2 linked regions of the Coturnix japonica genome follow. The protein of the gene in region 1 interacts with the protein of each later gene in a biochemical or structural test. Links are inferred from orthologs where the notes say so. Each region holds a gene or a part of one and is shown on either strand. Other genes may lie near its edges.

Region 1 (4,132 bases):
AGAATGACTGAAAGACAAAAACATGGTATAACTACAGAATTGTATAAAGGCTTAGGTTGGGAGGGACCCTACGGATCATCAAGTTCCAACCCACAGGCAGGGCCCACCACCCTCCAGATCAGGTACTAGACCAGGTCATAACATTTGCATGGGTGGAAATGGAACAAAAGAGTGGACTGATTTTAACATGAAACACTGCTAGAAATGCTCTAGCAGCATTACTGTTCTGGCTTGTAAGAGAACAGCTGACTACAGCTTACACTTGTGAAATGGAAATACAAAGACATCCTGCAGGAAACTCTCTACAATTATTCCTTTCACAGAGAAACTTCTTTTATCACTGGCTGGATGTGCAGGCACTACAGCATGACAGGCGGTAAATGATCAAGTATTTAATTCACATGCAGGTTATTAATTACAACTTCTAGAATTTATCTGCAGCAATAAAGCAACCGCTGAAATACACAAAAATTAACCACTAGAGATTTTCATCACAAAACTGCTATTCTTGTAATTTTAGTTATCCTACCATAATTAGGTGAAGAAATTTATAAAGCTTTCCAGCCCTCTCAAGCCTGCAGCTCACAGCTTTACAATGGTACAAATGCCAAGATATCGATTTCCTTATTTTGACACAACTTGAAAACAGGACAAGCAACCAATAGCTTCGTGTTCCTAACAGTTTACTTTTCCTCTTGTTCAATTTCTTGCTTTAAAACTATTTAAGGAGCAGAATAAATGGAAGACCTCTTTAAGCAGACCATTGTGACTCAGTACTGAAGATGCAAACAGAACTGGCACACAATCGCTAAACCAATTTCAGGCTATGGTTTCAAAACCCCAGGGGAAGCATTTTCTCTAATCAACACTACTGTGCCCTTTCACCATGCTGCAATGGCTTTGATTTTGCCCAACAGCAAACCAGGTGACTTGGGTAGCTTGATCCCCACGTATTCACCATGAGACCAAACAGTTAACACCACTACAACAGACAGCATGGGCTGAGACTGGAATCATCGGGCAGAACACTTCTTTCCAGAGCAGCACATATTCATGCTTGCCTCAAGTGCACACTGAAATTCAACTTCGGTTGTTTAAAGTCTTCCATTGGATGCCCCGCATCCAGTTCAACAGTTAGATACAGAATCAGTGCTGAAATATAATGCAGAACTAAATTCAGCCATCTCTCAGGTTTTTCTACATGACCAAATCTATTAAGAATAGATGCTGTTTTTCAATTATGAGTAGATAAGCAGATGAAGCCTATACTTGCAAGCAATTACTATTCTTTGGTTTTGTCTATGAGGCAAAAAGGGAATCTTCTAGAAGTCTTTGAGATGTGCTGCATTTTCTGGCCCAGTGATACTGGAAACCAATAGAACTAAGTTAAGTCAGGTTCCCCCCCCCCCACAGCATTTAGAACAAGCACTCGAACAGTAGCTTTAGTAATGAGCACTGTAAGGAGAAAGCTGAACTATAAATTTTAATACCACATCCTTTATTAAATGCTGAAATTCCATAAAAGTATTTTACTTTAGAGAACCACTGGAACTACTGCTTTAAGTCACCTTATCTAGCACTCCCACATCTAACAAGTTTCTATCACTTAACACCCCCCAAGAGCAGTTACCTTTTGCTACCTTAAGAACACAGTACACATGAGAAGTATTCTCTTCTCTGCTATACACCCATCTACTTATTTCACCTCTAATCCAGATATGTATTTAACAAATAATGACAGAGGGTTGGTATGGGTGTCATTCTCAGAGGGTCACTACATTCAGACCTTAAACAGAAAGGACCACAGTCGTATTCCCACGTTACCATGACAAGAAACTTGGAAATTCTGCATGTAAACCTGCACGATTCTCTGTGATTATCTCAAGAAACTTCATAGTTTGACTCTACTCTGGAAAGACACACTTTACCCACTAACACAGATGTACTAATATAATATGGTGAGTTTAAACACCTACCTCTAACGTCCGCGGTATCCATCCTTTCCGGTAGCCGTATGGGGGAGGCTCCCTTCGTGATGAGACCAGAGCAGTCTGCCTGGATCTCTGCGCCCTCGCTCTTTCTTCTAGCTCGAGCTGGTCTTGGGACAACTGGGTTGGAGCTGGCAAAAAACTGCACGTCCCCAGACAGGCACCAAAAAGACACATAAAAAAACAGCTCTGAAAAAGGCGAATTCCCACAGACGAACCCGTGAGTGGTTCTCCCCAGCCGGACACCCCCGGTCTAAAGCCACACACTCCAACTCCCCCGTCCGGACCCGGCGCACTGCACACCGCCACCCCCGCGCTGCCGGGCGGCGTTCACGTCCCCGCTCGGTACAGCCGGGCAGGCCGCGGAGCCGCGCTCTCGGAGCAGCAGCTCGTAACAAAGACATCCCTCACGGGAAGGAAAAGCCGGAAAGCGACCAGGTATCCCACCAGCACCAATCCTTCCCCTCACAAAACCCGCGTTAGCTCCCCGCAGCACGCAGCGGTGCGGAGGCCCCATCGCGCTCTAGGCCGCACAAAGCGAGCAGCGCAGGCAGCTCCCGCAGGCCCGGCCCTCAGCACACCGCACCCCGGGCTGCTCAGCGACCGTGGGCCCGCACCCAGGAGGGGCCGCTCGCCGGGCCGAGCACCCAGCGCTTCCCCAGACACCAACAGCGACGAGGACGGAGCGGGGGGACAGAGGGACGCACCTGGTGAGCGCCATCTTGCCGCTGCCGACTCGGAGTTAGGCCGCGGGATGGGGGGGGGCACAGGGAAGGACGAGCGCCTCGATGCGCGTGCGCCGCAGCGGGCAGCTGGGAGTTGTAGGCACAGCGTCACAGCGATGGGCGATGGCCTTGGTGACTGAGATGTCACCTTGTGTCCAGGGCAACTGGGAGCTCTGCAGACAAAGCCGAGGATACGAGACTTTGACATGTATCGCTTATCAATAATTGTCACGAGCAGAGCTCATCTGCCATCTCTCCTACCGTTTCCTGTCAGTCATTTCTCAGCAGACTTGGTGTTGTGTGACAGCGCTGCTCCCGGTCAGGAGCCCTGTTCCTATCTGGAGCTGAGGAATGACTTGTTCTCCCTCCTGCAGTTCCTACTTCTTCCTGTGCTGTGATGTATCATCTACTGCTGTGTGGGAAACACACAGCTTTGGGGTCTGTTTTGCAACACAACCTGTAAGGCAAACACAAACTCAAACAGACCATGATCTGGAAGACTGTGTCCAGTTCTGGGCTCCCCAGTACAAAAAAGACAGGGATCTCTCGGAAAGAGTCCAGCGGAGGGCCACAAAGATGGTGAAGGGCCTGGAGCATCTCCCCTATGAGGAGAGACTAAGCAAACTGTTTAGCCTTGAGAAAAGAAGACTGAGAGGGGACTTGATCCAGGTCTATAAATACCTGAGGTGTGGGAGGCAAAGCGGCGAGGCCAGACTCTTTTCAGCAGTGTGTGGAAACAGGACAAGGAGAAACGGCCAGAAACTGGAGCATAGGAAGTTACACATGGATGGGCACAAGAACTTTATAGTGCAGGTGACGGAGCACTGGAACAGGCTGCCCAGGGAGGTGGTGGAGTCTCCTTCTCTGGAGATATTCAAGACCCGCCTGAATACCTACTTGTGTGACGTGGTGTAGGGAACCTGCTTTGGCAGGGGGGTTGGACTTGATGATCTCTGGAGGTTTCTTCCAGCCCCTACGATTCTGTGATGCTGTGATTCTGTGAAGTGGGAGCGGAGGTTAAGTACAGAATGTGTTGTCCTGGAAAACTCCCAGCTCTGTGAGCTGATCATTTCCATGTATCTTCATGTATCCCCTAGTTTGTTCTGGGCTTTGTGTGCACCAGACTTAGTAATAATTCAGATATACCAGCTCTGGTGAATTCTTCTTTGATAAGAAGAAACAATAAGCAAGGGATGGATCTGAGATCCTTAAACCCATTTTTTTTCCCAAGGATATGTATCCCGATATGTATCCTTAGGAAAGAAAGATTCATTCATTTTTCTTTTACCATTATCTTTTTTTGCTTAGCATTCCTGGGCAGGAATGCTATCAGATCTCCACGTGCATCAATTTCTACAAGTTGACCAAAATAATCTGGATGGTGAGTAAAGTGTTGAGGCACTTCATCCTTGGCTTTGC
Region 2 (3,643 bases), on another chromosome or scaffold:
CATGCCCCTATAGGTGCCATCTCCACATCTAAAGGGCTGACACCCCCACACCCCACGTGTGACACCTCCATGCCCTATAGGTGACATCCCCACATCCCCAAAGGTGACACCTCCATGCCCCTATGGGTGACATCTGTGTCCCTATGGGTGACACCTCCATGCTCCTACAAGTGACATCTCTGTGTCCCTATGGGTGATAGCCCCATGCCCTATAGGTGACATCTCTGTGTCCCTATGGGTGACACCTCCATGCCCCTATAGGTGACATCTCCATGCCCTATAGGTGACATCCCCACGTCCCCAAAGGCAACACCTCCATGCCCCTATGGGTGACATCTGTGTCCCTAAGGGTGACACCTCCATGCCCCTATAGGTGCCATCTAAAGGGCTGACACCCCCACACCCCACATGTGACACCTCCATGCCCTTAATGGTGACATCTGTGCCCCCAGAAGCGACTCCTCCACACCCCACACCCCCAAACACCCCACAGACACCCCCACACACCGTCCCCACAGCCATTTTATTCCCATTATCCCCCAGCAGGGACAGCTTTAAGCACTTTAACATCATCCAAAGGCCGGTCCTGTGCGTTGGTTTCCACCATGCCCACCCTGCCCAGCACCCCGATCCCTTGGCACACGCGCCCAAAGATGGTGTGTTTGCCATCCAACCATTGCGCCGGTGCCAGCGTGATGAAGAACTGGCTGCCGTTGGTATCGGGTCCTGCGTTAGCCATGGCCAGAATGCCAGCGCCTGGGGATGGATGGAGGGAGGAATAAGAATGGGCTTGATGGGTTTATAGGGTTTTTGGAGGGATAAAAGTGGGTTTGGGGACTCACCGGTGAATTTCAGCTCCGAGTGCAGCTCGTCCTCAAAGTGTTTGCCATAAATGGAGGCACCGCCACGGCCTGTGGGTATGGAGATCAATAGGGGATCGTGGCTCCACACTATGGGGTCCCCACTGTAAAGACTTACATATATAATAGGGGGTGTCCCTATATACAGGGGGTGTCCCCAGCACTGAGATAAGGGTCTCAGTGTCCCTGTTAGGGGGTCGTGGTGCTGCCACTGTGGGACTGGGGATGTCCATGGCCCCATCATAGGGCTGAGGGTCCCAATCGTGAAACCAGAGGGTCCAGCATCACTATTAGGGGGTCCAGCATCACTATGGGGGGGCTGAGGGTTGAGCTGGGGGTCCTGACCACCCCACAACAGGGCTGAGGGTACCAGCATCCCCCGTACAATGCAGGGGTCCCCATCACAGCACTGAGGGTCACAGTGCTCCCATCATTAGGGTCTCAGTGTCCCCATTGTGAAGGTCCTGACGATCCCATCACGGAGCTGAGGGTCACAATGGCCCCATACCAGGACAGTGGATCCCCCGCTGTCCCATTTGGGTCTATGGGGCGGCCGTGGGGTCCGTGCACTCACCGGTCCCGGTGGGGTCTCCTCCCTGTACCATGAAGTCCCGGATGATGCGGTGGAAGCGGGTCCCGTTATAATACCCACGGCGACACAGCTCGGCAAAGTTCTTACAGGTCCGGGGGGCGTGACGCCAATAGAGCTCCAGCACCAGGGTGCCCATCCTGCACCACAACGGGGACATAACGGGAACACAACGGGAACGGGGTGAGATGGGGGGATGTACCGGGAGGGGCTGTGATAGGGGCACCGGGAGAGCCAGGGGGGACCGTGGGGGTAATGGGGTCGGTGATAGGGGCACCGGGAGGGGCTGGGGGGGTTATGAGGGTAATGGGGTCGGTGATAGGGGCACCGGGAGGGGTTGTGGGGGGTTAATGGGGCCGGGAAGCAGAGTGAGGGGATCCCGGTATTGGGACCTGCCGGGGTTGGGAGCTCCGGGTACCGGAGGGCGATGCCGGTATTGGGGTGGGGGGGAATGGGGTGTCCTGGGGGGAGGGGGGGTAAAAGGGGCCCGGATGGAAGAACCGGGACAGCCCGGGGGGCTGGTACCGGAGGGAGGAGGGACACAAAGGGGTCCCGGTACCGGAAGGATGTCGGTGTAAGGGGAACACGGTAGGCCCAACAGCGGAGGGGTGTCCCGGTACCGGGGGGGGGTCTCGGGGTATCCCCAAACCGGAAGGCCTGCCCTTACGTGGTCTCCATGGACACGGTGGGTGGCTGCCATGAGTCAGGCGGCACGGCGGCCATCTTGCCCCGCCGTTATCGCTACCGGCGCCGGAAGCGGAGACTCGGTGTTTCCGGTGACACGCCCCCTCCCATCCAGCGACCAATGAGCATCGCGCAAAGCTTGTGGGCGGAGCCAATCAGCGCGGCGGGAGGGAGGGACGGGCGCCATTGTGGGACCGGAGGGAGAATTCGAACGGACGAAGCGCCGCGAACACGGGAGGGAGTGAACCGGGTAATGGGAGGGAATGGGCGGGGTGTGGGGGTGGGATGTAACGGGATGGGATGGGACATAACGGGATGGGACATAACGGGATGGGATGGGATGTAACGGGATGGGGGTGGATCCCGATGGGGGGGAGTGGGGCTGGGACCACCAGGTTGGGGGCTGTGGGGCCTTGTAGGCATTGGGGGCCTGACGTGTGGGTATGGGATGGGATGGGATGGGATGGATGGGATGGGATGGGATGGATGACTGGTGATAGGATGCGATGGCGATGGGTGGGATTTGGGGATGGGATGGGATGGTTGGCAGATGGAATGGATGGGATGGGAGGGATGGATGAATGGGATGGATGGGCATGGGACTGGATGGATTGGGTGGATGGATGGTGATATGGATGGAGATGGATGGAGATGGGAGATGGGAAAGATGGGATGGGATGGATGGGATGGGGCAGAAGGGCTGGGATAACACTATGGGGATGGGAGCATCCCGGTGTGGGGCTGGGGGCCCATTGGGGTGTGGGCTGGGAGCTGCCTTTGTGATAGAGCATGGGGAGGATGTGGGGCTGGGACCCCCAGGTTGTGGGGCTGGGACCCCTGTGGTTTGGGGTCCATAGGGGTCAGGGTGTGAGGCTGGAGCCCGTCGGTACAGGCTGTGGTGCTGTGGGGTGCAGAGCTGCCCCCCAGCTATGGGTCTCTGCCCCCCCCCCGCGTGCTGCCCCGTGCTGTCCCCATGGCCACAAAGCCCCGTTGTACCCGGTGCTGGCACAGTCCCCAGTGGGCGCTGTGCCCGTAATGGGGACATTAAGGGGGGTGGGGGGATATGGGGTCACCCTGCTTACACCCAGGTCACCCATGGGCTCTGGTGCCGCTCGCTGACCGGGTGCGATGATGGAGGAGCGAGGTAGGGCTCTGTCCCCAACACGGGGAGCCCCTCTGTGCCCTCTAACATAAGGTCTGGAGGCCCCCTACGTGTCCCCCTCATGTCCCCCCCTCATTGCCCCCAGATGTCCAGTTCATCACCGAGGAGAAGCTGGACTTTAGCATCCTGTCCCCTTCTGACAGGTGAGATGGGGACACGGGGTGACATAACATGGACAGGTGTCGGCCCATGATGTGTCACCTGCTGCCCAGCGTGGGGCTCCTGGGCTGGGCTAACGCTGAGCTTCACCCCCAGCCGTGAGGATGATGATGATGACGAGCCCCCCCCAGGGGGCACAAATGGACGTTGGAGCCCCCTGAGCGGGGCCGGGCTGGAGGAGATGGTCCG

Evidence for each region. The genes of interacting proteins can lie anywhere in the genome.
Region 2: the proteins of SNW1 (region 1) and PPIL1 form a complex in vitro, tested with the Homo sapiens proteins (2 studies listed by IntAct, with this or other methods). The link is inferred for Coturnix japonica from reciprocal best matches to the Homo sapiens genes SNW1 and PPIL1.

What each region holds. Positions count from the first base shown.
Region 1 is NC_029520.1:35,703,020-35,707,151, forward strand, and holds the start of SNW1 (SNW domain-containing protein 1), read right to left. Parts: upstream 2,815-4,132; 5' UTR 2,710-2,814; coding exon 2,696-2,709; intron 2,131-2,695; coding exon 1,977-2,130; intron 1-1,976. UniProt on the Homo sapiens protein: Involved in pre-mRNA splicing as component of the spliceosome. As a component of the minor spliceosome, involved in the splicing of U12-type introns in pre-mRNAs.
Region 2 is NC_029541.1:1,560,101-1,563,743, reverse strand, and holds PPIL1 (peptidyl-prolyl cis-trans isomerase-like 1), read right to left. Parts: upstream 2,173-3,643; coding exon 2,117-2,172; exon of another isoform or gene 2,099-2,116; intron 1,590-2,098; coding exon 1,435-1,589; intron 912-1,434; coding exon 843-911; intron 757-842; coding exon 533-756; 3' UTR 505-532; downstream 1-504. Other genes in the region: PSRC1 (proline/serine-rich coiled-coil protein 1), read left to right, coding at 2,126-2,383, 3,222-3,277, 3,551-3,643. UniProt on the Homo sapiens protein: Involved in pre-mRNA splicing as component of the spliceosome. PPIases accelerate the folding of proteins. Catalyzes the cis-trans isomerization of proline imidic peptide bonds in oligopeptides. Catalyzes prolyl peptide bond isomerization in CDC40/PRP17.